Mus musculus: one gene and its partners. The protein of the gene in region 1 interacts with the protein of each later gene in a pairwise test. Links are inferred from orthologs where the notes say so. Each region holds a gene or a part of one and is shown in the gene's direction. Other genes may lie near its edges.

Region 1 (8,086 bases):
CCTGGAACTGGAGTTACAGATGGTTGTGAGGTGCCACGTAGGAGCTGGGAATTAAACCTGGGTCCTCTGAAAGGGCATCCAGTGCTCTTAATCACTCAACCATCTCTCCAGTCCTAAGAAAAGTAAGTGCTGGAATACAGTTCCCTACTCAAATGGCCAGTCTTAAAAAAAAACAAAACAAAACAAAACAAAAAGACAAAACAAAACAACCAACTCACTCTGCACAGGAACCACTTACGACAGAGATGAAGGTCTTTAAATCCTGACAAATGGCCCATGAGACTTAGCAACTCACTGTTGACCGTTACAGGAGAAAGTGGTTTCCTCTCAGTCACATGATCCCGCGTCATGTTCACCCTCCGCCTGTCTTGTCCTGTATTTCAATAAATTCTTTGTCTTTTCCTGCCCTGGGTAAGGGTTTTTTTGTTTTGTTTTGTTTTGTTTTTTCTTCAAAATTCGCGCTGTCAGCTTCCAGATGCAAGTTTTCTAAATCTCCTTCTAAACTCCTTTCCTTTCTCTTCTGCCCTCACAGCTGGCCATTAATTCACATTTAGGTCACTCTACATTAGATTTTAATTTCTATGTTTTATGAAATGGAATCCTTTCTGCCGTGTGTATTATTCTTTTGGAAGTAGAGTCTTATGTTGTTTGGACTGGTCTTTAACTCCTGAGACCAAGGTTCTCCTGCTTCAGCCTTCCAAGTTCCTACAGCTATATTCTTATATATATCAGGAGGCTGTTATTGAACCTGGAACCACCTGCATCTAAGGGCCGCCTGTGTCTGCCTCCCTAGCTGCTGCCCTCTGCTGGGTGCTGGGTGCTGGGTGCCCAGGCTCAGGTTCTTATTGGTTGTAGAGCCAATGTTTTACCAGTGAGCCATCTCCCCAATCTCTTCCTTAAAGCTTATTTTTAAATTTAAATTTATTATTTATTTTTTTTAAAGATTTATTTATTTATTTATTTATTATATGTAAGTACACTGTAGCTGTCTTCAGACACTCCAGAAGAGGGCATCAGATCTTGTTACAGATGGTTGTGAGCCACCATGTGGTTGCTGGGATTTAAACTCAGGACCTTTGGAAGAGCAGTCAGTGCCCTTAACCTGTGAGCCATCTCTCCAGCCCCTATTAACTTATTTTTAAATTTAAATTTAGTATTGCTAATTTATGTCTGTGTGTGTAGGCACTTGTGGAGGACAGAGGGCAACTTTCAGAAGTTGGTTTCTCCTTCCACTATGGGTTCTGGGGACTGTCCTCAGGTGATCTGGCTTTCATGGTTTGTATTTTACCTGCTGAGGTACAGCAGCACCCACAAACACAGGTGCATACACAAACACGAATACTCAAAATGTAATTATAAAATGTTTTATGTTTTGTTTTTTTCTTTAAAAAAGACCCACATGACCATGTGACTTTTCTACTTAAAACTCTTCAGTGGCAAGTCAGGGTCCTCCGGACAGAAGGCGTGTTTCCACCCAGGCTCTGCCCTGGGCTCAGCACTGCCTGGCTCCTGCTTCCTCTTCAGCTTCATCTCCCACCAGTCCTGCCTTCTGTGATCTGGCCGCACTCTCTGAGCGCTATGGTATGAGTGATGTCTTCCTTTTCGCCGGGGATCTTCTTCACTTGTTTAGTGGCTATGCACTCCTCAAATTTCGTCTCAGGCATCATTTCCCCCGGGAAACCGTCCCTTAAGGAGAAGATAGTAGGCCCTCATCTATGTGCGCTTCCTGGCATCGCAGGTGTACTCGTTGTCTCTAAAGGCCGCACTACGATTACAGTGGCTTTTCTAGGCTGTTAGTTTCAAAATGGTGGAAGACTCTGCCCGCCTCGTCGCAGTTGTTTCTCTAGCACCTAAGATGGGGCCTGACACAGTGGGCATTCATTAAGTAGTTGCTACATTCCTGTAAGAAAGCGTGTTTGCTAAGTGAACAAACACCGATGCGCCCTGCTGTCCGGGACTGGAGCCAGCTGCTACTTAGCTCCACCTGGTGGAAACAGCAGCGGCCTGCAGCTCCCCATTTCCCGCGGGGTGCTCCTGCATCCCCAGGCCTTGGGTTCAGGATATTAAGCAAAGTATCAGGCACCTAGCATAGGAGCGATCGACCAAGCCGAGAGCAGCTATCACGTTCAGGAGTCAGCCCTAGGAGGGCCTGGATATTGAATTAACCTTTTCTTCATAAGACAGTGGTCCTTGGAATGGTTACCCCATAGCAGCATCTGACTTTTTAAATTTATGTTGTTGCTACTATTGTTTTTATTTCATATGTCTATGGATACTTTGCTTTAGTCAAGGAAATGTAAATACCACAGTCTTTATGATACTGATTTAATCCAAATCAAATTAATATAAATACTTAATGGGAACTTAAAAAATACCCAAGAGAGTTCCCTAACATCCTTTAGTTAGCGCAGCCTAGTTAGGGGATGCTCTGTGTGCTGACAGGAAACCAAAATGGAAATACTGACCCGGAACCTGGGAGGCCGAACACAAAACTCAAGTCTGTAACCTGTCCTTTAGATCAGTTTTTCTTTTCTTCTCGAATGTTTATTTTTATATGTGTGTCGGCGTGAACCCATGACACTCATGCGCAGGTCCCCAGGCTGAACTAGATCAGCCTCTCAGGCTGCTGTGCTTGCCGACTGGACGAAACTGCATTTACAGGACGCCACGCAAACTGTTAAATAGACACCTGACACACAAGCAAGGCCTTCGGTGTCGGACGAATCAGGAGTCCGTTCACCAAGGACCTCTCCCTCCAAAGCCTGCCCATCTACTTGACCACGCACAACACGAACTTCTGCAGACAGCTGCGGCGGTCGGTTCCTCTGTGCATCTATGAGAGCGCGTTCGGTTGCTCAGCAGATATTCTGGAACGAGGAAACGGGAAAAAATGTGATCACTGTCCTAAGAGACGTCGTCGCTACTCTTCTGGACAACTGAGCGCGGGCTAAACCACTCACAACATCTGTAGGGAGTTTTCAGGTCCCCGTAGGACGTGCCAGGCCAGGGTGCAGGTGCTGGCTGCGTCCCCTCAGCTTGTGCTGGGGCACGGTCTATCTCAGGACAGGGGGCGGGGCGCGGGGACACGGTCCATCTCCGAGCACGAAGCCAGGCGCTGGGCCCTCAACAAGAGGCCTGGAAGGACCAGAACGGCGGACAGGCTAAGGTCTGAGGTCTGGGCTGCGTCTCGCAGGCACTGTGGAGTCGTGACAGCCTGTGTTCACACCTGAATTTGGTGAGCAGAGGCGACTCACAGTGAGGAAGTCGCCCTGAGATGAGCTGACTCCGCTTTCTTTAGGGCGGGGCCGCGCAGAAAGGAGGAGCGCGCGGTGAGGGAGGGGTCGCGCAGGGAGGGCGGGGCCGCGCAGAAAGGAGGAGCCCGCGGTGAAGGCGGAGCGTTCAGGGAGGCGGGGCTAGCGGTGCGGTGAGGGCGGGGCCGCGCGGGAAGGAGTGGCTCGTGATAAGGGCGGGGCGCACGGTGAGAGCAAGGACCGCGGTGAGGGCGGGGCCGCGCAGAGAGAGCAAGGAACGCGGGGAGAGCGAGGAGGGCGGGGCCTCGCAGGGAGGGCGGGGCAATTAGTGAGGGCAAAGCGCGCGGTGAGGGCGAAGCCGCGCAGGGAGGGGCGGGGCCGAGCCCAGAGGAGGCGCGCGCCGTGAGGGCAGAGCGCGCGGGGAGGGCGGGGCTTCCGAGCAGAGCAGGGCCGCGAGCGCCCTCCTTGCCGCGACTGGCCGGCCTGCGAGGGGGCGGGGTTTCCGGCGGCGGCGCACTCGGGCATCTCCTGACGCAGAGTGGACGAACGTCACGTGACACGGAAGTGACTCCGAACAGGAAGAGGACGAGAAAAATAACCGTCCGCGACGCCGAGTGGGAGCGGACTCAGAGCCACCATGAACAGCAAAGGCAAGGCCGGGAAGTGGCGGGGGCCGTCGGGGAAGCGGGCGGGTTCGGGTCGAGCGGGCTGGGGGACGTCGGGCCTGGGGCGGTCTGTGCGGCTCTCTTCAGCGGGCCGCACAGCGCGGCCGCACCTGACGTGGCCGCCCCCCTCCACCCCCACAACGCAGCCGCTCGGCCCTCTGGGCCCCGACCCCATAAACCGTGTGGCGCAGTTTGGAGCCGCGGGCTCCTGTGTGTGGGGTGGGGGGGCTTTTCCGTGACGGACAGCGGCTGGAGCGAATGGCGAGCTAGAGCAGGGATTTGGGGAAGCCAATGGAGGGCGGGCGGAGGCGGGGCGCCGCGCCTCGGAACAACAGGCCTCGGCCGAGCTTAACTGCTGAGGTGCCGGCTCCGCTGCACGGCCCAGGCCCTCGAGGACCCGTTCTCGCCCGCCGGGGACTTCTGGCGCTTCCTCCTCGGGGCCCGGACTCGTAGCCGCCCCTGTGCGTTGCTAATGTTTGTGAGAACATGGTCGCGTTCCCCACCCCTCCACCCGCCGCCCTTCTCACGGTTAACTTCCAGTCACTCACTCTTTGGAGGTCGACCTTGACTAGGAACCCGTGAGGTAAACACTGAGAACCGTGGGTCCCACAGAGTCAGGACTGGTTACAGCACAGCCCGGGGGAGATCACCCAGAGGAGTCCCCTAAGACACCAGCAGTCCGGAGACCCCGGAACGGGTCCTCAGACCTGCCCTCTATTCGAAAGGGAACATGGCCAAGTTAGCCTCCATCAATCAGTATGCTAGTGGGAACGGCGCCTTCTGCCCAGTCAGAAGCCAGCACCTTCGGGCGCGAGGGTGCCGAGACCATCCTTATTTTCCTGGCTCTAAGAAATAAGGCAGCCTTATTTGCAGCTCTTCTGCTTGCTCCCCACCCTGTGCACCCTGGCCCGTCTAGTAGCTCTGCTTACAAACTTGTTTTTATTCAAAGTGTGCCTGCCTCTGCCTGTGTAAGTGTCTGTGAGTGTGAGTGTAGGTGCCCACCAAGGCAGAAGGTAGCGTTGAAAGGAGGTTGTGTCATATGTGGGTGCTGGGAATAGAACTGGGGTCCTCAGGAAGAGCAGCACTTTGTCTCACACACTGAGCATCTTTCCTGTTTGCCACCTCCCCTCCTAATCTGACAGACAACATCTCTCCTCCCCTTTTGTATTCCAGGTCAATATCCAACACAGCCTACCTACCCTGTGCAACCTCCTGGGAATCCAGTATATCCTCAGACCTTACATCTTCCTCAGGCTCCACCCTATACTGATGCTCCACCTGCATATTCAGAGGTACTGCAGTTTCCTAGACTTGTAGCTAGTTGAGAACACTCTTGGATCCCCTTGTTAAGTCTTCAAATCTGACTTCACAAGCAGAAGGATGCTCTGTGAATCATCTAGAACTTAAGGTGAAAATTACCATTGGAATTGAATGCAGTATCTGATTATGCTATTTGACACATGCTGACTTAAGCTGAGTTTGGGTCCCTTGAGCACAATAGTAGCTGTGGACGCAAATGACTCAGAATACTGTGTGCCAGTGACTATAACCAGTGTGTAATCTGCAAACACAAGAACTAGGAACAAGGGGCTAGAGAGATGGCTCAATGGTTAAGAGCACTGCTTTTCCAGAGGTCCTGAGTTCAAATCCCAGCAACCACATGGTGGCTCACAACCACTGGTAATGAGATCTGACACCCTCTTCTGGTGTGCCTGAAGACAGCTACAGTGTACTTACATATAATAAATAAATCTTAAAAAAAAAAAAAAAAAAAAAAACAACTAAGAATGGACTCATGAGCCATGCGTGGTGGTACAGGCGAGTAGTCTCAGCATTGAGAGGCTGAGTCAGGAGGAAGCTGAGTTCAAGGCTGCCAGTATAACCAAACCCCATTTCCAAAACCAAACAAGGGGCTGGGGATGTACCTGATTTGGTAGAATGCTTGCTTAGCATGCACCAAGCCCTAGATTTGGTCCCTAGCACAATGTGAACTGGGTTTGGTGGCACAGGCTTCTAATTCCATAGTCAAGAGGTAAAGCAGGAGAGTCAGGAGTTCAAGGTCATCCACTCCTACATACTTGAAGGCTAGCCTGAGCTACAGGAGATGGTCTCAATAATACTTAAAGAGATTCCAAATAGGAATGTCACAAAAATAATGTTTTGCTTTCTCTTCTGCTTCTTTCAGCTCTATCGTCCAAGCTTTGTTCATCCAGGGGCTGCCACAGTCCCCACCATGTCAGCTGCATTTCCTGGCGCCTCATTGTATCTGCCTATGGCCCAGTCTGTGGCTGTTGGGCCTCTAGGCTCCACAATCCCCATGGCTTATTATCCAGTTGGTCCCATCTATCCACCTGGCTCAGCAGTGTTGGTGGAAGGAGGGTATGATGCAGGTGCCAGATTTGGAGCTGGTGCCACTGCTGGCAACATTCCTGTGAGTATGCCTAACTGGGAGCTCAGCCCTTGTATACTTGAACAGTCTGAAATGACTTCATATTCATTCTCCAACCATAGTGGTCAGGGCTGGCACAGCTGCTGCCCTCTCAGAGCAGAAATGTGGCCGGGCCAATCAGGGCATTGGACACAGCCCTTGGTTTTAGAGTTAATCAGGTTGATTTGTTTTCTTGTCTTATTAAATTAGTGGCATCTTCCTTTGATCCTAGCACTTAGGGGCAGAGACAGGGGGATCTCCGAGTTTGAGGCCAGTCTGGTCTACAGAGCGAGTTCCAGGACAGCCAGGGCAACATAGAGAAACCCTGTCTATAAATTTAAAAAGACTGCTAGCTCCTTTTTCAGTTGTTCAGGCACAGTGAACTGGTCCAGGGGTGCTGCTTGGTGAGTTCATAAGCATTTAATATTTGCCATGAGTGGGGAATGTACTAGGAACCCAGATGATTAAGAAAGTAGAATGCACGGTCCCTAGTAAGTAGGTTTTATTTTCCAGGTCCTCCTGCTCAGTGACACTGTGTATGGGGTTTGTAGCCCACAAGGTTCTAGCAAAGGGCATCTTCTTAGGAGTCATTCTAGAGTGAGGTGACTAGAATGGTATCATTATTGGCTTTTAACAATGTTGTATGTTAAAAACCTAGGGTTGCTGAAGATGTAGCCCACTAGTAGAGCATTTGCTTATCTTGTACAAAGGGCTCTCCCCCTCCCTGGTAAATAAAACCCCACATTCACAAGAGATCCTGTGGGGTGGGCGTGGCTCTCCCTGAGAAGGATGGGATCTGGATTTACAGGCTACATCTTAGAGCTAGAACACTCTGGGTGAATGACAGATTTCCTTTCCTGTTTATGTCCTGGATTCAGAGAGAGTAGGCATGCTCTAGAACAAACTGTTGCAAACTTAGCTCCTTAAAATGCTGGTTGCTTGGTACTGTAGTACACTCGATAATCTTAACAGTGGGGAGGTTGAGGCAGCAGACTTCCTTTGAGTTTAATGTCAGTCAGGGCTACATAGCATGAACCAGTCAAGTGAGAGTTACTCAGACCCTGGGTGGACCTATCCCACTGCCTGCAAAAAAAAAAAAAAAAGAAAAAGTTACCGATTGGCACATTGCCATCTTCTTACGCAGCATCTGCTTCCTGTGTTCTTTCCCTGTGCCCACTGTACCTTGTTCTTTCCTTCTAGCCTCCACCTCCTGGATGCCCTCCCAACGCTGCTCAGCTCGCAGTCATGCAGGGAGCCAACGTCCTTGTAACTCAGCGCAAGGGAAACTTCTTCATGGGTGGCTCAGATGGTGGCTACACCATTTGGTGAGGAGCCATGGCCACTCCTGTGCCGGGGAAGACATCACATACCTTCAGCACTTCTCACAATGTAACTGCTTTAGTCATATTAACCTGAAGTTGCAGTTTAGACACATGTTTTTGGGGTGTCTTTCTGGTGTCCAAACTTTTGAGGCACTTTTCAAATTTAATAAGGAACCATGTAAGGGTAGCAGCCCCTCCCTAAAGCATTCTGAGGTAAGGAGGTATCCATTCTTCAAATGAATGTGAGTGAAGCAGCCCAAGGCTCTTCCTTAATTCCTCTGGAGTGATGCTGTGCCATGCTGGTCTTTGCTTCTAGTAATAAAACATCAAATTAGGTTTGGAGGGAACTTTGATCTTCCTAAGAATTAAAGTTGCCAAATTATTCTGATTGGTCTTTAATCTCCTTAAGTTTTTGATTTA
Region 2 (8,125 bases), on another chromosome or scaffold:
AGAAGGGACAGGCAAGCAAGGCTGGCTCACAGCTGGTTGCTTCGGTACAGCCAAGTTCTCAAGGCTGACAGTGAAGTCACAGCACATTGTCACATCTTAAAAAAAAAAAGCGAGAGTTAGCTGGAGTTAGCCCAATAGGCTCTGAGATCCACAGTGAATTTCTGAGATTCACTGGAGACCCACAGTTCATTTACTGTGACAGCTAACGAAGAGATGACAGGAAAATAGAAAATTAGTCCAGCTCGCTTAATGACAAAGCCATTTAATTGGTATTACCCTAAATTGGTACCCTGACTAACCAGTGGGTTGGAAACTATTTTAGTTCAATGTATGACTCAAGAGATTTTATCTCCTAGCTAGAAGATGCTGGGATGAAAAGCTCCACGTGGCAGCAGTCCAAACATGTTCCCCACAGCACTACTAGAGTCACGGTCTGGGCATTTTGCTGCAGAGCTCACTCTAGCATGGCAGCTCAGGAAAAAATTCATTTCTGAGCCAGGTGGTGCAAGGTACTCTGCTACAAAAATAAACAAGAAAGGGAACAGATAAGTACATATGCCTCGAGTATTATGAATTTTTTCTTTATTGCTCTTTTGTTTGTTTGCTTGCTTGCTTTAAAACAGGATCTCCTGTAACCTAGGATAGCCTAATGTCCACTATGTAGCTGAGGCTAGCCTTAAACTCCTGTGCTACCTGCCTCCATCTACCAAGTGCTGGGGTCACCTATGTGCCACCATATCTGGCTTTGATGAATCCTTTTTATGTAGGATCAGCTAAGTTACAATTTGGTGAGAAAACAACTTAATAACTTAAAGCAAGACCTTTTGTTGTTGTTGTTGTTGTTGTTGTTACTCATTACTTCTGATCTTTTTCTGATTAGTGGCGAGCTCTTGCTAAATTCAGGCTTTGGTTACAAAGCCTAACCTGGAACTTCTAGGGCTGCCCTTGCAGGGACCAGGAGCAAGGGCATGTTCTCTACAGTCGGTGCTTCAGTCTGTCTTGACTGTCTGTCCTTTGTGGATAGTGTGTTCCAGTCAAAACAGCAAATTAAGGCTTCAGACATAAAGCGACATATTTCTGCTTGGCCCATTGACTATGTCTGACTACAAACAGATCAGGAAATAAACCCTATCATGGACTGATAAGGCCAAAAGCCAGACATATTTAGCAATAGGTGTTGATTGTCTACCACTTGTTTTGTGCTGAGAGTTGTTCTAAATGCGTTGCAGGTTTCAGCCCTGAGAAGCTTTGCATCAATCCCAGGAAACAGGTAGTTAGCACCATTATCATTCCTACTGCATACATGAAATACCAAGGCAAGAAGTTAAGCAACCTGCCAAAGCCACACAAACAGAATTCAAATTTTGGATCTCAGCCCAGGTGATCTGACCTCATGGTATATGTGCCTCGTCTCCATACTGTGCAGCCAAATGGAAGGAAATGAGAAGCTGTCAAAGGCTTTTTCAACGGGTGAGCATGGTTAAGTGAGATCCTCGTACAAGAGGAGTCAGGTGGAGCAAAGCCACCCGTGAATGACTCCAGCGCCAGAAAATTGGATGCCCTTTTCCTGGACTCCAAGGGCACCTGATCTGTTATGTGCAGACCCACATATAGACACACATACACATAGTTAAAAATTAAAACTAAATCTTAAGGCCAACATATTGCAATGCCTCTAATCCTAGCACTCAGGAGGCAGAGGCAAGCAGAACTTTGTGAGGTCAAGGCCAACCTGGACTACAGAGTGAATTCAGGCCACCCAGGGCTATATAGGGAGGCCCTGTCTCAATAAAATCAAATAAAAATTTAAAAACGACTAAGAGAATATCAAATCTGATGGACCTGTCTTAGGAAAATACTATATGAACTTGGACGTTTATGAAAGTAAGTTCTTTGAGACTTCACTGGAATGAAAAGGTTTGGAACAGGAATAAATTATTCTGATTAATAATGTAACAAATATTTTAATTTCCCTTTATAATATATAAATATTATATATTACAATATATAATAAATAAATATATAATATAAACATTTTGAGGGGAGCCTGGTCTTGGGAGAAAGTAGAGATGAACAAGACTGCTGTCTTAGAGGCAAATAAACACTTTGTCTTGCTGGCCTCCCTGGTCTATTACTCTAGCCTTCAGAAGAATCCCTTAAGAGCAAATATCAGGAAGTAGCGTTCTCTTCCCCTTTAGCACATCCTGTTTTTTCTCAGTCTCTTTTAAGAATTTGATGAGTGAAGGGACGGAATGCATACACAGGAAGATGGCCGTGGGTTCAAGACACTATTTGTAACAAGAGAGGCTTTGGAAAATAATACCTAATAACCATTTTTAAGTAGCTGCTTATTCCATGTTACCCTATAACTGGCTCTCCCCCAAACAACCTGAGAGATGGCTCAGCAGGTGAGAGAGTTTGGTAATCTCTCATAGGACCCTGGTTCCTTCCCCAACACCCACATCACACACCCTCATCCATCAGCTGAAACTCCAGCTTCAGGTACTGCAATGCCCTCTTCTGGCCTCCTTGGACACCTACACACACACACACACACACACACACACACACACACACGCACGCACGCACGCACGCACGCACGCACGCACACGCACACGCACACGTACGCACTCACACACGCACGCATGCACACACACGCAAGTAAAGGAGGCTAGGTATGGTGGCACATACCTTTAATCCCAGCACTTTGGAGGCAGTTCTCTGTTAGTTCGAGGCTATCCTAATCTACAATATAAAGTTCCAGGCCACCAAGGGCTACTTAGGAAGAACCTGTTCAAAAAAAAATTTTTTTTAAAGGAAAGAAAAGTTCTGCCTAGACACTAGTCAGAGCGATGCTCAAAAAGGGCAGTAGTCACAGAGAAGACTAATGTATATCAGCGGCAGGAGGCATTCCAAGTTAGAAGTGATCACGAGGGAGGGTGTAATGTCTCTTTAACTCGGGTCAGAGGGTGAGTCCTTTTGTCTCTTGAAGGAAAGACTAACCTAAAGGAGTCTGGGATAGCCACAACCCTTGTATTATATAAGGATAATAAACACACATCTTATAAAGGTTGCTGTGAAGAGCATACTGTGATAATTGATAGAAAGCGCTTAGAGCAGTACATGGCACACAGTATGAGCTCTGTAAATGTTGGTCGTTCCCTTCACTTTATTCTCTTCACTCTCCTCCCTCTCCACCCGGCTTCATTCATTCTTTTCCAAGGGCACGCAGGGGGCGTGTCCTCCCTCCCGCCGCTTCCACCTAAGCCCCGCCCCCGGCTCTTCCCGGATTGGTTCCTAGGAGGCGGAGCCAAGGGGAGAGCCCAGTGCAGCGCGGTGGGCGGGGCGCATGCGCGGGTTGGGCTGGGTGGAGGAGGAGAGGAAGAGCTGCCGGAAGTAGGCGGTGGAGGTGGCGGCTGAGCTGGTCGCAGCTGCCAGGGAAACCGAGGCGGGAAGCACAGCGGGCAGACCCTCAACACTCGGGGTCAAGTGTGCGTCCCGCACGCCTGAAGCCGGGAGCTCGCTCCACCTAGGCCACTTCTGGGGTCCCGCAGCCTCCGCGAGTCCCTGCCTTGCCCGAAGCCCGCCAGGGGGCGCCGCGCTGAGGGGCTGAGGGGCTGCGGGGCGGGGGCGCTGACGGCTCTGACCCCGGGGCTGCTCCGGGCCGGGCGAGAGGACCGCCTGGGCGGGGACCCCAAGGCCTCAGCCCCGGACAGAGGCAGGGGTTCTTGGGGGGTGCAGGGGGCGCGTCGCCCTCTGCCCCCGCCGGCACCCTGGCCATGACAGGCAAGTCGGTGAAGGACGTGGATCGGTACCAGGCGGTCCTGGCCAACCTGCTGCTGGAGGAAGATAACAAGTTCTGTGCTGACTGCCAGTCCAAAGGTAACGCATCCGGGGCGCCGGCGGGGGGCCAGCTGCGGGGCGGCGGCGTGGCGATGAGCTGCGATGGCCTGAGTGGGGAGGGGGTTCTGGAGCTCAGGGCGAGTCCTCTTCGTATGACCACGCGAGCCACCCTCGCTCATGAGCTTGCTGGGTTTCCTCGGGCTTGGGACTTGGGGTTTGGTGTGGGCGAGTGTGTGTGTGTGTGTGTGTGTGTGTGTGTGTGTGTGTGTCAGCGAAGTGGGGATGATATAGTGGGGGGTGGGGTTGCCCGGTGTGTTCAGGTGAGACTGTCTATGTTGCAGACTCTGAATGGCTTCTGGGCTCGCTGTCATGCAGAGCTGGCAGCCTTTTACTTGGCAAAGCTGTGGGTGAGCTGCAGTGTGGTGGGGGTGGCGGTGGGGGTGACGAGGAGGAAGGTGAGATGACTAAGAGAAAAACTGTCGAAATGATATTTAAAGGTGGCATTCCTTGCTGTCTGCTATGTCGTTAGCAGCTCCTGTCATTTTACCACCTTGTTGAGCTCAGACCGAGTGCTTAGGTGGCTTTCTTCACCCAGGTCGTGTGCACTGAGAAACAGCTACCTTATGCAGTGACACAGTGCGGATTTCTAGGTAGTCTAGCCTGGGTTGTGGAGGCCTCATGCGTGTGTGGTGAGCGAAACTAGCAGACCTGGACTGTAGTGCAGGACCCGTTCAAGCAGGGAGAAAAGGAAGCAAGGAATTCCCCCAATTCGTTATTTCCCTGGTGATTACACCTTTAGAGAGGAAATAGAAATTGGCCACAACCACTTAGCCTTTGTTTTCTGTGTCTGTAAAGGTTCATGCTGTGTTACAATTAAAGGTCAATATGGTAGAAAATTTACTAGTGAATTCTGTACAGCTTTGTAGGTAGGAGCAGCTATAATTGGGAGGGGGTATTTACTTTAGTTCATTTCCTGAATTTGCCATGTAGCATATGGGTATAAAGTAGTATAAAGCATTCAGATGTGTGTGTGTATTAATGTTGAGAAAAGCAATAGATACTTAGCCCATACTTCATGTGATTATGGTTTATTTTAGAGTAAGGTTATGTAAGGAGGGCGCAAGAATGATGATGCATTGATTTAGACTCCTAGTAATAAATTTTAGTGACCTCTATCAGTAGGCAAATGCAGTGAACTGTCAGCAAAGCAGGTCCCCAGACTTCTCTCGAGAATTTTTGCGTTAACAGGAGTTCAATTTATGTTGAGGAGTCGAAATTTCTTGTAGCTTGATTCTTGTTAGATCTACTGGAAGGTTTGGTTTACAGTGTAGGAGCACCTTTGGTCTACTCAAATCCTCTGATGTCCTCATTGACAATTTTAAGTCGCAGCGAGGCATCCACTGAGCAGAAACCATTGTTGATGATTTTTAGAACCGCCCCCTCCCCTGTACTCATGTTGTTTGTATGCTTACTCATCCCAATAACATATACCATGGGGAAGAGACACGTTAATTTACCAGGTCTTCCTCCAAATCTCCCATTGCCCTTTATTAATAGCCTTACTAGATATAATCAGACATAGAACTTCGTTAATTCCTGATGAGAACTAGTAACTGGGGCCTGCGATAGGGCTCAGTGAATAAAGGTGCTTGCCACTAAGACTGACAACCTGAGTTTGATCCCCAGGACTCACAGGGTAAGAGGAGAGAACCAGCTCCCATAAATTGTCTCCTGACCTCCACGTGGACTCTAGTACATACATGTACAATCTCCACAAAGTTAATAATTAAGATGTAAAAACAGACGACACCAACAACAAAGCCTAGTAGCTGTCTGCCACTGATACTAAAACCTTGGATCCTGAATGTTCTGAAGTTAGAAATTCTCTTCAACGCGTTTGCCACTATTAAAAAAAGAGATGCCCACGTGTCCATTATCTTTCAGTTCTGTCAAACAGGCTTTTGCAGAGGCCTGTTTATCTAGCTGCCGAATGTTCAGCCCTGTCTGCCGGTTAACCCCTCCTTCATTCTCTTCCTCTTTTCCACTTTCAGGTTTTGTGATGAACTCGTAGGCAGTTCTCAGAGGGTAGGAAAGAGAGATATTTGCATTAGTAGATCATGACCTGCTCAGCCCTGATAAAAAGGACCAGCAGTTGGTGGAAGAGTTAGAAGACTGTTCACTGAAATAAGATTTGAGTTTGAGTTTACTTTTCTGTTTTCCTCTTGTCCTTTTCAGAAAATTGAGAGCTCACCAGACAAGGTCTGGAGAGTTCATCTATTAGTATTTAGTGTATTGATGTTGCCTGGACTACAGACCTCTAAGTGGATACTTTTGTAATGTTCCAAAATAGCTCTTTGGCAATGAATTCTCTTTTTTAAAATTTAATATTATGTTTTAATTTATTTATTTGTGTGTGTGTGTATGTGTGTGTGTGTGTGTGTCAGAGAACAACTTCCACCATGTGGGGAATGAACTCAAATGGTCAGGCCTGCTGGCAAGCATCTTTCCTTACCCACCGAGCCATCTTGTCACCTGATGTTTCTATTTATTTATTTTCAGGAAAAATTATGTTTCCTAAACGTTTTATTTTTATTTTAAATCATATGTATATGTGAGTGCAGTGTCCATGGATGCCAGGAGAGGGTGTTGATCCCTTGGAACTGGACTCACAGGTGATTAGGATTCATCTGAGGTGGGTGCTGGGAACTGAACTCAGGCCTTTTAAAGAACACTATGAACTCTGATCCACAGAGTAACTTTTCTAGTCCCCTGACTCTTCTTTTTAAAATCATGTTTAGGAGTGATACTTGTTAGTTGATCCTTAAAATAATGTCATTCAGCACTGGGATAGAGACTAAGCAGGCACCTTTCCCTTTATTCAGTAGAAGGCCTGTTGAGTCAGGTTTCCGAATGTCCTGGACTGCTTTGACACTGCTTTGTATTAAAAAAAAAAAATGCCAATGCTTAGTGGTTGTGGTGCGTGTCATTAGTCCCAACTTGAGAGGGGAAGGCAGGGGGATCTCTGTGAATTAGAGGCCAGTTGGTCTCTACAGTGAGTTCCAGGACAGCTAAGGCTGTTACATAGAGAAATCCTGTGTCAAAGACAAACAAAAAACAAAGAAGTCACAATTTAAACCATCTGAGGTGGCTACCCCTGTAATCCCAGCACTCAGGAGCTGGAGGCAAGGAAGGAAGATAAGAAGTTCAAGTTTGAGGCTAGTCTGGGCTATGTGAGACCCTGCCTCAAACAGTTCCCGTTCCCAAATGCTATGACTTATTCTTAGCACAAAGTGCAGTTTCCTTGTCATGACAGCTTGCAAAGTAATACCTACATGGACTGATCTCAGCAATGATAAAGTTAGAGGGTGTACCAATGTTGATAAATGATTGATAAATGAGGAAAAACTAGTGTAAGAGCCAGGTATGTCTCTGGTAACTGGCTGCTTGAGACCTGGCTCCATCATACTTCCATTGTACTTGGGGTCACAGTAGCCCAAGGCTGGGCCTTTAGCTCTGCAGCTCCAGATGTTTATGAATGTGTTGGCATTAACCCATTCAGAGACTGGTGTCAGAGGGTCCACCTTTCTGATGACCTGCGTACTCCTGTGCACCATTGAGACATTACCAGCGTCAAGGTTTGGGAGAAGCAGAGAGCCGTTTAATGAGCAGAGAGTAGACATGGGAGACATGACAGTGTCAGGGAACATATGAGTGACACTGAAGTGCCTCGTGCAGCTCTGCTGTCTTGAGAGCTTTGTTAGTTTTTCCCGGTCCCCTTCCATTACATCTTGTCTATGAAATGTTTCCCCTCTAATTACCTAACCACTGCCTCTGTTTCATCTTCTCTATATATTTTCACTTAAGTAGATTTCATGTGGTTTGAAATTCAAAAAAAATCGAAAAGACAACAGAATGAAAAATCATTGTCCTAAGGTGACCCATAGCCACCTTTGTTCTCTTCCTGAGTATAACCACTGTTGGCCATTTCTTACCTGCCCTTGTCCTATGTTTGAAACAGGCTGGCCTTGACCTGTAGCTGATTAAATGAACTCCTGATCTTCCTTCTTAAATTCCTCCTGTTCTACCTCCCCAAAGCTTGCACTGCCGGCATGCAGCCTTGTCCCCAATTTCTTAACCTGTATATCTGAGACGAGTTTACATAGTTTTGGCTTGCCTGGGACTTGCTGTGTAGACCAGACTGGATGCAAACTTGCTGTGATCCTCCTGTCTCTTCCTCCCAAGTGTTTTGCCTCACCTGCCTTTCATTTTAAATGTATGTGTG
Region 3 (8,156 bases), on another chromosome or scaffold:
GTGCTTGTGCTTTGATAGCCCTGCCATGATGGGCTATAACCTGGAACTGTGAGCCACGCCAACCCATTCTCCCTGAAATTGTTTTAGTTAGAATTTGTTTATTTGTTTGTTTTGAGCCAGGGTTTTACTATGTAGCCCAATCTAGCCTGGAACTCCCTCTGTACACCAGGCTGGCCCCAGACTAACAGAAATCTGCCTGTGTCTGCTTCTCAAGTGTTTAACGGCATGCACCAGTGTGCCTGGCTTTGCTACCTTATTTTCTCACAGCAGTAGGAAAGTAAAGTGAGTTATCCATGACTTTTTGTTCCTGTGATAAAACACACCTATAAGCAGCTTGTGGAAGAACTTACTTTGGCTTACAGTTCCAGAAGGCTAGAGTCTGTAATGTGGGCCCTGGCAGCAGGGTATGTGTGGCATCTGGTGGCCAGAGCAGGAAGCTAAGAGCCAGCCCCCAGTGACAAGAGTTCCTCCAGCCAAGCTAAATCTCCTGAATACTCCATAACTGACTCAGTGTCACCAAGGAACCGAGTGTTTAAATACCTGAGGGACATTTCCACCACCACACTGAGATCGATTCCCCGAACAGGTGTTCTACCTAATAAGACCTAACAGCCAGAGCACCATGACATGAGACACTACCTGACTGCCTGCACACAACCCTGCCTCCACATCAAAGTAGCTCTATAGAATGCCTCCAGGGAGACAGTATTCTTAAATGTTATCCACTTCCCAGATCTGCCACCTTCTGCCAAGATGAATCTCTCCCTAGCCTGTCAGTGTCATCCTGCCAGCACAAACAACCCAAGTACCCATTACTAGGGGATAGTTCAATGAACCCTGGTTCATCTATATGGTAAAAATTCTAATTAAAACAGAGAAGAAAGCAAAGCAAAGAAACAAGGAGCCTTCCCATAGATCAACATGGGGACATAGGATTGTGCTGAAGGACACTGTGTAAAAAAGGAGAAATACATATAGTGTAAAAATATTGTGTAATTTACAAATCATTCAAAAGCAAATAGCACCAACTACCTGTGGTGAGGCTGGGATAGAGTGGGACCTGAGCAGGTTGGGGGAATTAGGAGAAAGATAATGTTTGTGAAGGCTTTCTTTGCAGCAAAACAAAAATCTCATTTTTTTTTTCCTGGAAGCACAAAAAGTATCATAATCCCTTCAGAAAAAAGTCTAGCTGTTTCTTATAAAACTAAATGTACTATCCTACAAATTGTACTGTGGAGAATAAAATCATGCAATCATGACATCCTCGAGTGGCCCCTCCTGTTGGGCTTAGACCAGAAACTAAAGTTTCAGCACAGACACACAGGGTCTAGAGTGGATGCTCACTCACACACAGTGGGCCTGCTGAGGGCGTGTGCTCACTCACACACAGTGGGCCTGCTGAGGGCGTGTGCTCACTCACACACAGTGGGCCTGCTGAGGGCGTGTGCTCACTCACACATAGTGGGCCTGTTGAGAACATGTTTTAATCCTCTTCTTCCTTCTTGACAAGGAGTTAGAACACAAAGCCAATTTCACTAAATTAGAAAACTTACTAAGCCTCTTCACTAGTTCCTGGAAAACATATTTAACTCAAACTGTATTCAAATACAACTCTTTTTCCTATTATTTAAGGTATGTATGTATGTATGTATGTATGTATGTATATGTATCACTTCTGTATATATTCATTAAAGAAAATTTTGGTATCTGGAGAGATAGCTAGCAGTTAAGAGTACTGGCTGCTCTTAAGGACATCTCTGGCCTCCATGGGAACCTGCACCGTGTATACATACTCCCACACAGACAGACAGACAAGTAATTTAAAATGAAAGGAAAATTCAATAAGTGCAGTAAAGTAGGAAAAAAATCTGCATTTTCTATTGCTGTGAAATTATCATGACTCAAAGCAACTTAGGGAAGGAAGGACTTATTTAGTTTATAAATCTTGATCACAGTCTGACATCGAGGGAAGGCAAGGCAGGAACTCAAGCAGAGACCGTGGAGGGACCCTGCTTACTGGTCTGCTTTCTTATATAATCCATGACCTCCTGCTAAAGGATTGCATTGCCTGTACTGAGATAGGCACCGCCCCCCAATGCCAATCACTTTAGAGAAAGTCCCCAGACTTATCTGATGGAGATTTTTTTCTCATTTGAGGTTCCCTTCCCAGATGATCCTAGTTTGTGTCAAGCTGACAAAAACTAATCAGTACAACAGCTATAGCTCCATCAATGTAAATGATCATAGGGCTGTCCGATGACCTGAGGGTACCTTCGGTCTCCTTCCCACAGGGCAACACCCATCTCTCCTGTAGGTAATTTGAGATTAGGCATTTCCTGGTAGGAGGGCAGATACAGCAGATACACAAGTGTATTTAAAACCAGCTTTGAGTATACGTGTTATGAGGGTACGTTTTTCCTTGAAGTGAAATAGTAACAAATTTATTTACTGTTTCAGGTGTAAACACGGTGTGTGTTTGTGTGTGTGTGTGTGTGTGTGTGTGTGTGGCACATGCATAAAGCTATAGGATGTATGACCCACCAACTCAAGGCTACCTAACAGCCCATCTGTCAATCAGGGCAAAGGGTCTACCTAATTTCTACGCAGGGAATCTGCTCCTCACTCTACTTAAACTCACAACGCTCCAAAAGGTCATGGGGGTCTTGAGTCTTATGCTTGCTCAGGCCGTTCCCATTCTGGGGAGTGTATTCCATGCATTTTCTTTGTAAATAAATGTACCCTTTGACAACCTTTATTCTGTGTTGTGCAAGTCATTGTTTGAGACACCAAGAACCTAGAAAAAACCTGGGATACACAAGGCACTATAATTAAAAGAGTATTTTTTTTTCCTTAGACTGACCTTGAGCTCACTACCTAGCTAAAGATAATCTTGGCCTTCCTTTATATCTTCTTACCACATCTTTCAAATGCTGAGATTACAGCTGTGTACTGCCATGTTATGTAGCCCAAGCTGCCCTCAAAGTTATTATCCTCCTGACTAAGCCTCCCCAGTACTGAGATTACAGTCCTACTAACACCCCCCGGCTCCTTCCTCATTTATTTTTTTATCCTTATATTTTATATTCTAAGCTATAACATTTCTATGTGAGTTATTGCTAAGACTTCCAGTTTTGTTCCTTGATTGCTGTTTCAGTTTTGACATCTCCATCTTCCTGGTTTTTAAGCCTGCAGGTCTTCATTTCTGGCTCTGAGAGGTCCCAGGTTCAGTTTGCCCTTGGCTTGCCCCCATTCCCGCTGTCACGCTTTTCTCTACGAAGCTCTGTGTTTAGAGGCCAAGATCAAGAAACTTAGAACCACCTTTGAGCAGATAACAGCCCAGGTTGAGAGCAACGCCTTGGCTTCGGCCCTGCACCCGGGTGGCACCTGCCTTGCGCGCATGCGCATGGCTCGAGGCGGTGACGCAGGACCAGGACTCGCGCGTCCAGCGGAGAAGCAGGAGAAGCCGGCGACCTTGCGCTCTCAGCCTGATCCCTGTCTTGGCGGCCTGAACATTCGCAGGTGACTGTGCCCGCGGAGCCCCCCTGCGCCCGCGTGCGACCCCTTCCCCGGACCTCCCCGGTCGGAGGTACCCCATTCGGCCCCGCTCACGCCCCTCCGGGGGTAACCCGCTTCGCCAATACCCCCTCTCAAAGCCTGGCTCTGGGGAGCTCTAACCTTGCTGGCCGCGCCCACTTCCTCGGTGACACCACCCCCCCCAGCCCCTGTTCCTTCCCCCTTCTCTAATGTTCCTCGCCTCCCCCCCCCCCCCCAGCTCTTGCCCTCTTCCTTTTCCAGAGTGTCTCCATTCTGACCCACACCCCTCCCTCGTCCCTAACGTCTGCTGTTCTGATGATACACTCCACCTCACACTAGCTCCTGCCTTTTCCCCAGTATCCATCCTCATTATATTACTCCAGCCTCTCCCTGCCTCCTCCCCACTCCCCCATGTCCTCAATCTTAATTGTATCCCCCCCTCCCCTCCTGTCTCTTCAGTGTCCCTACCCTGACTGTTCTCTTCCTTTCCCACCTCCTACCCCTTCCCAGTGTCCCCATCCTGATTGTATCCTCCCCCCATCGGCCCCCCAGCTACTACGTTCCTCCTTACTTAGCGTCCCCATCCTGATTGTATTCCCCTCCAGCTCCTGACTCCTCCCCTGTCGCTAGTGTCCCACATTCTGGTTGTACTCCCTCCTCCAAGTCTGTCTCTTCCCCACTTCCTGATCTATCCTCCCAGCCCTTCATAGTCTTCCTTAGGGTCCTGTCTAGCCTAGCTCCCCTCCATTTCCCCCTGGGTCTCTGCAGGGATTCTTCAGTGTTCCCCACCATAATCTTTTCTTCTCCTGACCCAGTGACCAGGTCTGTCTTGTACCCCTGCCCTTTCCTCAGGGTCTTTTCCGGGTTCACCAAAAGCCCATTTTTTTTTTTTTTTTTTTTTTTTTTGAGACAGGGTTTCTCTGTATAGCCTTGGCTGTCCTGGAACTCACTTTGTAGACCAGGCTGGCCTCAAACTCAGAAATCCGCCTGCCTCTGCCTCCCAAGTGCTGGGATTAAAGGCGTGCACCACCACCGCCCGGCCCAAATGCCCACTTCTTGATGTATCCTCCCCAGTCCTACGCATCCCTTCCCAGGTGCCCCCTGTCCTAAATGGTATCTTCCCGTAGAGCTGCTTAGCCCTTACCCTCCCTCCCCTTCTCCACCTATGTCTGGATAAGGTGGTGGGGGCTCTTCTGAGGATGGGAGCAGTTTGGCCTTTCTGATAGCTCCTGTGACTTCACAAAGTACCGCTACTGCTTTACTGAGACCCCAGGGCTTTCTTCTTCCTGGGGTTGCCCTGCTCCGCTGGGCCTCCTGCTCCTCTGCACTTTCATGGTCTGTATTATAGTGCCTTTAGTTTTCCGTGTTTGATTGTACAAGCCCTGACTCCTTTTGGTTACATTTTATTGTTATGCAATAACAATAGTTAGATTGAGACTTTGGGAGGTCAGGGGTTTTTATTTGGGGTAAGCAGAATTTGTTGTGTCCAACTCTCAGGTGCAGAGTGGCTTACAGAGAGTCTTCATAAAGGAGTGGAGTGATTGCCAGTGTTTTAGAAAGGTGGGAAGCTCACAGATTCTAGCGAGACTACGTGGCTCGTTCAGAACACAGTGACTAATTCCTCCAACCTCCCACCCCCCTCGTGCATCTCATTTGACTAGGATAGGTTGAAGCGACCCATGCAGGAAGTGACTTGTCCCACTTTGCAGGAAGTGGTAGGGTGGCGACTGGGATTTATTGCCTACTTACTTAGGGCAGGGAGTGTTAGCTGGAGTATTGACCAAACATGGCTGGAATCCACCAGCCTGTGCTGTGGGCTTGCCTTTTGGAGTGAAGAAAGCCCTCCTTTCTTAGGCTGCTTTGACAGGTAGCTTGGGAAGAGACCCTCTAGCTCAGCAGGTACTTGCCTGGGTTTATCTGGTGTCTGTGGTGTTTGTTCTCTGTGTGAGAGATCTCCCACCTATCTTCCTCAGGGCAGGAACCAAAACTGGGTTATGGTGTTTTCCTGTCAGACACACAGTAGCTGTTCAGTAAATTAAGGGTGTAAGCACTTTTTCTTTTTGTAAGTCAATCTCCTGATAATAAAAACTGAATTTATGAAACCAGTTTCTCTCTCTCATTATGTCTGTCTGTCTGTCTGCCCCAGCCCCTTTCTATCTCCTATCTTTCTAGCTGGAACCTGAACCTTTAAGTGATAGTTTATGCAGAGAGTCAGTGATCCGAGAGGGAGGCAGATTCGCACCTTTGATCGCCCTCTTGTAAGTCAGCTGCAGCCAAAGGCAGTTTACCATGCCAGACACAGTCCCTGAGGTCTATGGTGTCTGTCACCTCTCCTTATTGCCCGAACTGCTCTATGGCAGTCTCATCTTAAGGATGCTGAGTCCTTCGTGCCTCTCTGTGTCGCCTGGACCGAAGGGTTAAATCAGAACTGCATACCTTGAAAGGGTGTGTGTGTGTGCAGATTGCTTTCTATGACACGGATTACAAATGTGTCCTGTACCCTTAAAATATAGAGTAGCTAGACTGTAATGCTCATATCTTCCCTTCCTGTGCTTTTGCATTCGATCTGGTCAGTAATGAGTCATATCTGTAGGTTCTGTATCATATGGGCGGTGGTGGCATCCTGCTGCTGCTGCTGCTGTGTATAGGTAATGCTTAATATGGCTTCAAACTTGTCAGGAACTTTCCAGCATAAAGCTGTTTGAAACAGTAAGCGGTTGTGCTGTTGAGATGGGTAAAGAAAAACCAGCAGAGTTTCCCTGAGGCCTGCAGGGCTCAGGAGCCAGGAGGCAAGAGAGCTGGATCAGAGCTGAAAAGAACACTTGGAGTGTTTTGTTTGTATGCGAGAGATGGTTTTATGAGCTGTCTTAACGTGTGTGTGTGTGTGTGTGTGTGTGTGTGTGTGTGAGAAATCTGAGCAGGTTTGCTTGTTTTTTTGGTTTTTTTTTTGTGTTTTGTTTTTGTTTTTAAGCACACCCTATACAAGCAGCACATACCTTTGGCAGCTTTGTTCTGTCTCCTGTCAGAGTAGCTGCACAGAAATTTGCTCCTGTACCACTAGCTAGCGACAGCGTGAAGGGGCGGGAGAGGGGTGGGTTCTCCTTGACTCCCCGAGAGCTTGACCTTGCTTTTAGCTGACATTCATATGCAACTTCTTTCTGTCTTTTTCTCCAGCCTTTTCTTCTGCATTAGTGGATGGCAGACAAATTAAAGAATGATTTGATTAGTGTCAGCAACTGACCCAAAACTGGACAGTGCGAGCCGAGAGAGGAAAGATGCAATTAGATTGATATTTCTTATGCAGCCCAGGCTCAGGGGTAGCCATGCCCACAGTGGCCTGGGCCTTCCCACATCAGTTATTAATCAAGAAAATGCCCTCCAGGCTTGCCTGTGAACAAATGGATGGAGACTTTCTCAATGGAAGTTCCTTTTCCCATGTAGCTCTAAGCTTGTGTCAAGTTGGTGAAACAAAGCCAAAACCAAAAAGGCCAACCTAGATGAAATCTGTCTTTATTTTCTGATAATTCTCTTTGCTTTCAAATAGGAAGGGGGGAATTTTAGTGACTGTATTATAGGAACTGAAAGTCAGGAAGCGTGGTCATATATTTTAAAACTTAATAAAGGCTAATGTTTCTAAGTATAGACTTTGGACCCAAAAGACCTGGGTTCAAATCCTCGTTCAGTTGGTCACCTTGGGTAACTTACTTGAGATTTCCAAGCCTTTTTATTATGATTATTATTATTATTATTATGTTTTAACTATAAAATGAAAATATACCATCAACTTGATGAAATTTTGGAAAATTGACTGAAATAATATACAAGCGTTTTTGGAGAGGGGACTTGACAAATATTCAACCCAAGGTAGCTATTTCTCCAGCAGGTTAAAGGGCCGGAAGAGTCAATGTTAAACAGATTCTGTGATCATTAACACTGACTGTCAATCAACTTGACAAGCTCTAGGATGGTCTAGAATACAGGCCTCTGTGCTTGCCTGTGAGGGGCTTTCTGGATTGGGTTAGTTGAGGTGAAAAAATCTCCTCTAAATGTGGGTGGCACCCCACAACAGACTGGGGTTCTAGACTGAGTCAGAGGAGAAACCCAGCCGAACATCAGCGCATGCCTCTCTCTGCTTCCTGACTACAGGTGCAAGGTGACCAGGGGCTGCCTGTCTTCACAGCTACGATGTCCCTGTGATCTGGAATAAACCCTTTCTTCAGCAAATGGCTTTGGTCAATTATTCTGCCAGAGCAGTTAGGAAAATAACGAATCCACTCACCATGGGGGTGGGAAGAGTACCCAGGACACATGACCGACTCTGGAAGAACAGAAAGATTTCAGTTTGGGGACGTGGTGGCATGCTGTGTTCCACGATTTATAGTTTATCCCTTTGCATCATTATCATTTGCTGCCTTTGTCACTTGTATGTCACATTACAGGATCCAAACATAAACGGAGGGAGTCTCACCAGGAGCCCACAGTTGAGAGACCATGGAATGGTAGAGAGACTTAGTTTTTAAGAGAGCCTTTGAATATTGTAAGAAATGTCGGACTTTTAAGTGTTGACTTTTTTAGTGACTGTCGGAACTTTTTAAAGTTGAGATGCTTTAATATTCACTGTT
Region 4 (7,208 bases), on another chromosome or scaffold:
CATGGTCCAGGCTGCAGGGGAGAGCAGGAAGGAAAAAAGCTGCTTGAGAGCCTGTCGCCTAAGAAGACACCCATTTAAGAGGAGTCTGCCCTTGGAGAGCCATATCCCGAAGGCATCTATGTGCAAGGCCTGTGTGTATTGGAGGTAGGCCCAAGTACCCAGTTACCACCCTCCATCAAGTATCCAAGAAATGCTCCAGGATGTAGCTGGAATGGGGACAAAAGGCTAGAAGGCACTGATGAGCGTCCAGGGGAGAGCAGGGGCTTCCCAGGAAGAACCTGTAAAGTCAGTGTCTAGACAAGGACTCACCTGTGGCAAGCAGCAGCCGTCTGTCTTCTTAGTCCTCCAGCTCCAGGTCCCAGTGCGGGTGAGCAGAGCTACCAGCAAGTGCCTTTTCCCTCCTAGAGAGGGGTGGGGCCTTGGGGTGGAGCTTAAAGATGGGGTTCCCAAGATCCCAAGAGGCCTCAACAACTAGAGCACAGCAGCCAGTCACCCCTCATTCCCAGATGGGTGGAGGCCAAGGTTTGGACTTTAAGGGGCATTTGCCAATCTGGGGTGACTCAATCACGATTCATCTGAGCATGCCCTACCTCCTTGGGTCATGGCCCCAGAAAGGAAGTAGAGGCAGGCCTTCAGATTCTGGGGTCTTCAGAGGTGCTGGGGCTACCCAGCCATGACTTACATCTTTTCTGCCACCGTTCTGAGCTCCTCCTTGCCACCAACACATACTGAGACGTTTGAGTGCACAAGACAATTAAAACTACTTGGAAGATTTCCACTTTAATAATAAGTTTGACACAACTTCGCAGATACACTTTACTTATCTTACATGAACTTCAGACACAGTGACATTTTCAGCTCCTTTTTTGTGTTGCTGAGTTGGGATGAAAGAACCCCCCGACCCCCTCGTGCCGTTTTCTGTTCCCAGCACCCATTCTTGGCACTGGCACCCTTCTGCTTTTGCAGCTTCACCTCCATGCCCACAGAGGGCACGAAGAGTGACGGTGGGGCTAGGGTAGAGACAACAGTGGGCTTCCCTGGGTCTGCAACCAGTGGGACAGGCTCAGACTCCAGTCAGGAAAGCACCAGGAAGGACATCAAGTAGGACAGGGCCTGCAAGCTAGGGTGACTGAGTAAGACTGCGTAGAGCCAGTCAGTCAGGTCGAGACAAGAGTTCGAGCAACTTAGCAAGTAAAAGGAAATGGGTCTGGGGGAAACATGCTTAATAAAGGAGAAAACCAGAGTTTACACAAGCTCCCTCAATCTTGCTCATCGCCCCTTTAGACTCCGCCCCTAGCCGGGAGCATGCGTAAACCAGGCCGAGGTGCTCAGTGGAAACTTAATTCCCCAGAAGCCTCCGCGCTCCTGGGTTTCCTAAGGACCGGGTTTGGACTGATCCTTGGCTCACACCGCTCAGCTCAGAACGGCCGTGGAGTTGGGGGGTGGGGGTGGAGGAACCTTATTCTCCTACGGGGCGTGGCTTCGTTTCACGGGGCGGGACCCTCGGTAGAGGGTGGGGCGGTAGGTGGCCTTGCGCGCATGCTGAGTGAATGGGTAAGTGAGCCGAGCCCTCCCGGGAAGGGTGGGCTGGTTCACTCCTTTCTCTGTCCACAGTTATCTGAGTTGGCCAACATCATGCATGCGTGACAGGTTTCCACGGAACGCCTCCCCTCTACAACTCAGCACCCGACGCCTCCTGTCACATTGTCTTGCTGAAGGAGCCCTGAAGTGGACCAATGGTTCCGCAGAACTGTAAAGTCTGGCCCAGCCTTGGCTCTCAAGGAACACTGTTCCATTCGTCCAATTGTACAGAAAGGGGCTGTAGCCTGAAGAAAATCTAGACTTTCCAGGGTCAGGCATAGGACTCAGTGTTATGCATGGTGGCCATGAGAGGGCATTCTGAACATGTAAACACCATGTCATCAGAGTGTGTCTTTAGTGTTTTCCTCACGGATTTCCCCACCCCCGCCCCAGGCAAAGGTGTAGCCCAGATAGAAGAGGATGAGGTAGGAGGAGGAGGATGAAAGGAATGGGGCCTCTGCTGGGTGGGGCCAGTATAGTACATAACTGTGAGACGTAGAAGCACGTGCTGACCTGATGAGATCCAAGAAAGGGCTACCCCACCCTAGGCAGGTGAGTGTGCACTGTGGGCCCTCCACCCTACACGCGGACTGCCAACCTATACCTGGTATTTCCAACTCTCCATCTCCAGTCCATGAAACTTCTGAGCTTCCTGTGACTGCCCCAGTTCCCTGTGACCACTCTTCTGGTATCCACTCAAACCCTTGTCCCTTTTGCTGTCCCAACTCCCTCTTTGACGAATCCTTGTGTGGATACGTCAGTGAATTGGAAAACTCCCGGCGTTCACACAGGGGGTGTGTCGGGGTTTGAAGTTAAAGGACCCTGCCCTTTCAGAGCTCGAAAGGTAGCTGAGACACAAGTGGAACGCTGGAACCCCTGCTCGGCATTGTGAGGCTCAAAATGAGGGAGTAAAACATGAAGATTTCCCTTACAAAATTTGGGGGGGGGGGAGGGTTTGGCCCCTCGGGGGATGAGCCAAGAGGCAAGGGAATCTTGTCGGCACGGGGATTCTGACCAGCCGGTAGCTAGCTGGGAGGTCGACACTGGGAGCCGACGCCAGACCAGGCGTAGATCGAGGGGCGGCTAGGAGACTGGCCCCGCCCCGTGGACCCCGCGCGGGTCCCCAGACAGGGGGTGGCGCTGCGGGCGCGGGCGGGCGCCGCGCGCACTGCGGTCCCCGCGCCTCCGCCGCAGAGCGCGCCACGCTCCGCACGCACCTGCCGCCGCCGCCGTCGCCGCTGTCGCCGCCACCACGCCGAGCCTTGCGTCCAGCACCAGCGCTCGCGCCCTGGGTGCTGTCTGCGCCCGCCATCGCCCGAGGTCTCCACTGGAGCCGCGGGAGCTATCGGAGTCACTAGAGCAAGGTGTGAGCGCCGCATCCGGGCCTGCCTTTGAGACAACCTCTGCTGCGGCGGCGGCGCAGCCGGGGAACGCCAGGCTGGGGCAGGTGAGCGGGGGTGGGAGGGGGAGGGGCGGGGGCCAGAGACATCACCCCTTTCCATTTTCATAGTCAGTCCTCCGGACAGTGAGTCCGGTCTCGGAGAGTATACTGGGGAGGGGGTTGCGTTCAGAGTTCCGTGGAGATCCCACGGATGAGGTCAGGGTCAGAGGTCGGGCACTCTGTCCTTTGTGAAGGATGGGGGCGAGGGCAAGGGCGAGAGTGAGGTGGGCCCCGTGCTGCCCTCACGCTGTCTCTCACCCGCAGCTCAGGCCTGGTGCAGGCCTCTCCATTGCTGTTGCCGCGGAGCCTTCAGCCCAGGTCCTCTGGCAGCCAGGGATCAGGCTAGCTGCCTTCCCTGGGCGCCCTGTCCTGGAGCCATGGGGCCCACCTAGCCCCTGCCTGCCCAGATGTCCCGGCCCAGGGACTGCTGACCTCTGCTACAGGAGGAGGCCCCTCCACGCCCCCTTGCCAGCTTCAGCAGACAGAGACCCTGGGTGAGCTCCAGAGCCCCAAACAGCCACCCATACCCCCTTGTCCCCGCCTGCTTCCCCCTCCCCCTCCTCTTCCTCCTCCTCTTCGGACTGAATCAGATAAGCCATTGTGGCCACTGGGAGGGGGGTTGCCCTCCAAGCTGTCACCGGCTGCCCCTTGCAGTCCACAGAGTAACCGTGGTCCTCACCAGGCCTGGCAGGACCAGGATGCAGCCCCTTCTCTTCCCCCACGGCCCCACCCAACACCCCCACCTGTGCCAACGTCCAGTCTGACTGTAGAGAGCCGGATGCCAGCTGACCCTGGGCCTGAGGTGGGCAGTGGATGGCCGGGCCTCCTCATGTCCTGCCTGAAAGGCCCCCATGTCATCCTCAAAATGGAGGCCATGAAGATTGTCCACCCTGAAAAGTTCCCTGAGCTCCCGGCGGCCACCCCCTGCTTCCCTCCTGCACCCAGGCCCACTCCCACTCTGGCACCCAAGCGTGCTTGGCCCTCAGACACAGAGATCATTGTCAACCAGGCATGTGGGGGGGACATGCCTACCTTGGAAGGAGCATCCCACACTCCACCCTTGCCAAGGCGGCCCCGCAAAGGCAGTTCTGAGTTGGGCTTCCCCCGGGTGGCACCAGTGGATGAGGTCATTGTAAATCAGTATGTGATTCGACCTGGCCCAACAGCCTCTGCACCTTCATCGTCTGGGCCAGTGATAGCAGGTGAGCCCCTGGAATGCCCCACCTGTGGGCATACATACAACGTCACTCAACGGCGGCCCCGTGTGCTGTCTTGCCTGCACTCCGTGTGTGAGCAGTGCCTGCAGATTCTTTATGAGTCTTGCCCTAAGTACAAGTTCATCTCCTGTCCCACCTGCCACCGTGAGACTGTGCTCTTCACTGACTATGGCCTGGCTGCACTGGCTGTCAACACATCCATCCTGAGCCGCTTGCCACCTGAAGCCCTGACTGCCCCATCCGGTGGACAGTGGGGGGGTGAATCTGAAGGCAGCTGCTACCAGACCTTCCGGCAGTACTGTGGAGCTGCATGCACCTGCCATGTGCGGAACCCACTATCTGCCTGTTCCATCATGTAGTGTCCACCTGCCCACTACTGCCTGCAGGTCCTTGCTCGCCGCTTCTTCAGGGAACTGGCTTTGTCCTGTTGCCCGCTGACCCTTTCTTGCCCACTGTGGCTTCTGGCCCTACCCTGCGTGGCATTGTCGCTGCAGCCAACTTTGCCATTAAAACTCTTTGCCAAAGTTTGCACTTGTTCACTGATTGAAGCTAACTCCTGTGGGCTATGCCCATGCCTGGACCTAGGGTAGGTTCCCAAGGCTATAGTCCAACATGGTCTAACCAGGAGCTGCCAGAGGGTGAACCAGCTCCATTCAAGGTTGGCTTGCTCTGCTTGTGGAAGGGCAAGCTGGCCCGAGTGTACTGCTTAGGAGGTCTGGACTAGCTGGGAACACACTGGTACATGGAGATGGGGCCCAGCTAGGGAGACAGAACTTTTAGCTGTGTGTGGTGAAGTTCATTGGTAGTCCCAGCACACTGGAAGCTAAAGCAGGAGGGTTGTGAAGTCGGCATGGGTTGCACAAAGAGATCCTGTCCAAAAAACCCACGTACTTTTCTTCTGGCCAAGGATGTATGGAAACAGCCTCTGGACAGCATATGTAGAGGCTTACAGTTGGCTACGACCAAGGACCCAGCAGTCTTTTAAATGATCTGCCTATGACTGGAACAGGTACCATTGAAGGGTTGTGAGGAGAGTGCCTGGATGGCAGAGATGGAGTAATAATGAGGATGGCAGAGGTAATGATAGAATCAGTAACAACTGTTTATTGAGAACTTTTTTTTTTTTTTGGGAGACAGGGTGTCTCTGTGTAGCCCTGGCTGTCCTCCTGGAACTCGCTCTGTAGACCAGGCTGGCCTGGAACTCAGAAATCCACCTGCCTCTGCCTCCCAAGTGCTGCGATCAAAGGTGTGCGCCACCACTGCCTGGTCTGAGAGCCTTTCTTATGCTTGTTATATAGGACTCAGCCTGAAATGTTACACCTTACATTGTGTCACCAATGAGCCATGAAGTGAGCTTAGATTTGTCTGCATCTCCCAAGTGAGGGCTCCTGGTCCAGTGACATGAATTGCAGAGTCAACTAGGAACAGAGCTAGACCTTGGGCATTTGGAGGCTTCAGGGTCTGGATGGGCCCTTGCAAAACAAAGGCAATATTGATCCCAGCTCCTCTGGGCTACCTTCTCTGGTGAGAGTAGCTTAGGTTGGGTGGGAGCTTTTGAAGGCTGGCTTGTGCAGTGCAGGCCTCTCCTGGTAGTTACTGTGGCTGCTGCTGTTGCCTTCAGGACACACACCAGCTTCTGTCTGGTGCAGGTGAGAGTCTGCAGCCCTTGCCTTCTCCAATGAACAGATCTCAGGATAAACAGAATCACTGTTGGAATCACACATTTGTGTCCACTCTCACCAGCTGGACTACGAGCTGGCGGTATAGCCCAGCTTCTGCCTGTGGCCAGTGAGATGACCGCCCATGGCAAGCACATAGGGTTCTTTTCACAACTCTTTCTGCCAGGCCAAGCTCCTTCAGAGGCTGTCCTTGTGTCCTTGGCTTTAGCTAATATCTAGGCTGCAAGGGTGTGTAAGCACTCTGGCTGGCGTAGGCTCTTAGGCATGTATAGTCTTGGTATTGGTGATAACAAGTCTTTGCTGATTACCAGAATCCAAGCGTGCATGGACTTCAAAGCTTGGCCAGCATTCTGGGCTCTGCTTAGTGGGTGGAACGGTCTAGCAGCATGAAGAGCACCCCTAGTAAAAGGAGCGGCATGAAGATGACCACCAGCCCGAGCAGTTCAAGGACCAGTAGGCTCAGCAGTGACAAGCGGCGGGCACAGGGGCCACGTTCCCGTAGTGCCCACAACCAGGTGCCTAGGCTGGGAGGGCAGGGCAGGAAGGGGAGACAGCTTCGCCCTCCCACAGGCCCTGCCAGGAAGCGCAGCTGGTAGCGGTGCTCTAAGGGACCCCAGGGCCAAGGGCCAGGATGCAGGGCTGTGACGGATGCAGTCCGCATTGGGCGCTGGGGTCCATCAGCTCGAAGCAGTTCCTCCTGCAGCTGACAGATCTCCCACTCTAGCATAGGTGTCTTCTGACGACACAGTGGACAGCACACACGGCCCAGGTCAGCTCTGGGGGTCATGCCTAACAGCTGGTGTAGGCAGCCCACACACAGGCTGTGACCACAGTTTAGCAGGGTCAGGTGGTGCTCACTAGGCCCATAAGGCTCAGCACAGATGGGACATTCCTCCTCCTCCACAACCTGCCCCTCACCTTCCTGCTCTTCCACAGTTGACTCCAGGGCCCTGGCAGCGGATGGGTCTCTGGCCTCCAGTTCCGGTTTACTGTCTGGAGTTCTGGCACCCAGAGGGGCCCTGAGATCATCCTCTCCATCTGCTGGTAGCTGGCACAGTGGGTCCAAGAGCTCAGGACCCAGAGAAGCACCGGGTGAACTAGTAGACACAGAGCTGGTGTCATTAGGTCCCAGGTTACCACTAGAACAGAGGTCAGGATGCGTAGACGGAGACTCCAGGATGACTGCAGGGATTGTTGTAGATATGAAGGTGTGGCCCTCAGGAGCCAGGCAGAGCTTGGCCTCCACCCATCCACCTGAGCACTAACCTCTAGATAACCCTTTCGGCTTGC

What was found. The genes of interacting proteins can lie anywhere in the genome.
Region 2: the proteins of Dazap2 (region 1) and Smap2 interact in binary tests that used the Homo sapiens proteins (3 or more experiments, as listed by UniProt). The two-hybrid records come from large-scale screens. The link is inferred for Mus musculus from reciprocal best matches to the Homo sapiens genes DAZAP2 and SMAP2.
Region 3: the proteins of Dazap2 (region 1) and Plekhb2 interact in binary tests that used the Homo sapiens proteins (3 or more experiments, as listed by UniProt). The two-hybrid records come from large-scale screens. The link is inferred for Mus musculus from reciprocal best matches to the Homo sapiens genes DAZAP2 and PLEKHB2.
Region 4: the proteins of Dazap2 (region 1) and Rnf208 interact in binary tests that used the Homo sapiens proteins (3 or more experiments, as listed by UniProt). The two-hybrid records come from large-scale screens. The link is inferred for Mus musculus from reciprocal best matches to the Homo sapiens genes DAZAP2 and RNF208.

Annotation. Positions count from the first base shown.
Region 1 is NC_000081.6:100,611,824-100,619,909, forward strand, and holds the start of Dazap2 (DAZ-associated protein 2), read left to right. Parts: upstream 1-3,838; 5' UTR 3,839-3,888; coding exon 3,889-3,901; intron 3,902-4,226; exon of another isoform or gene 4,227-4,499; intron 4,500-5,089; coding exon 5,090-5,208; intron 5,209-6,101; coding exon 6,102-6,347; intron 6,348-7,544; coding exon 7,545-7,673; 3' UTR 7,674-8,086. UniProt on the Homo sapiens protein: In unstressed cells, promotes SIAH1-mediated polyubiquitination and degradation of the serine/threonine-protein kinase HIPK2, probably by acting as a loading factor that potentiates complex formation between HIPK2 and ubiquitin ligase SIAH1.
Region 2 is NC_000070.6:121,012,506-121,020,630, reverse strand, and holds the start of Smap2 (stromal membrane-associated protein 2), read left to right. Parts: upstream 1-3,383; 5' UTR 3,384-3,779; coding exon 3,780-3,882; intron 3,883-8,125.
Region 3 is NC_000067.6:34,846,545-34,854,700, forward strand, and holds the start of Plekhb2 (pleckstrin homology domain-containing family B member 2), read left to right. Parts: upstream 1-3,414; 5' UTR 3,415-3,519; intron 3,520-4,532; exon of another isoform or gene 4,533-5,433; intron 5,434-5,680; exon of another isoform or gene 5,681-5,792; intron 5,793-8,156. UniProt on the Homo sapiens protein: Involved in retrograde transport of recycling endosomes.
Region 4 is NC_000068.7:25,239,496-25,246,703, forward strand, and holds Rnf208 (RING finger protein 208), read left to right. Parts: upstream 1-3,433; 5' UTR 3,434-3,800; coding exon 3,801-4,598; 3' UTR 4,599-4,766; downstream 4,767-7,208. Other genes in the region: Cysrt1 (cysteine-rich tail protein 1), read right to left, coding at 1-3; Ndor1 (NADPH-dependent diflavin oxidoreductase 1), read right to left, coding at 6,280-6,654, 6,837-7,100.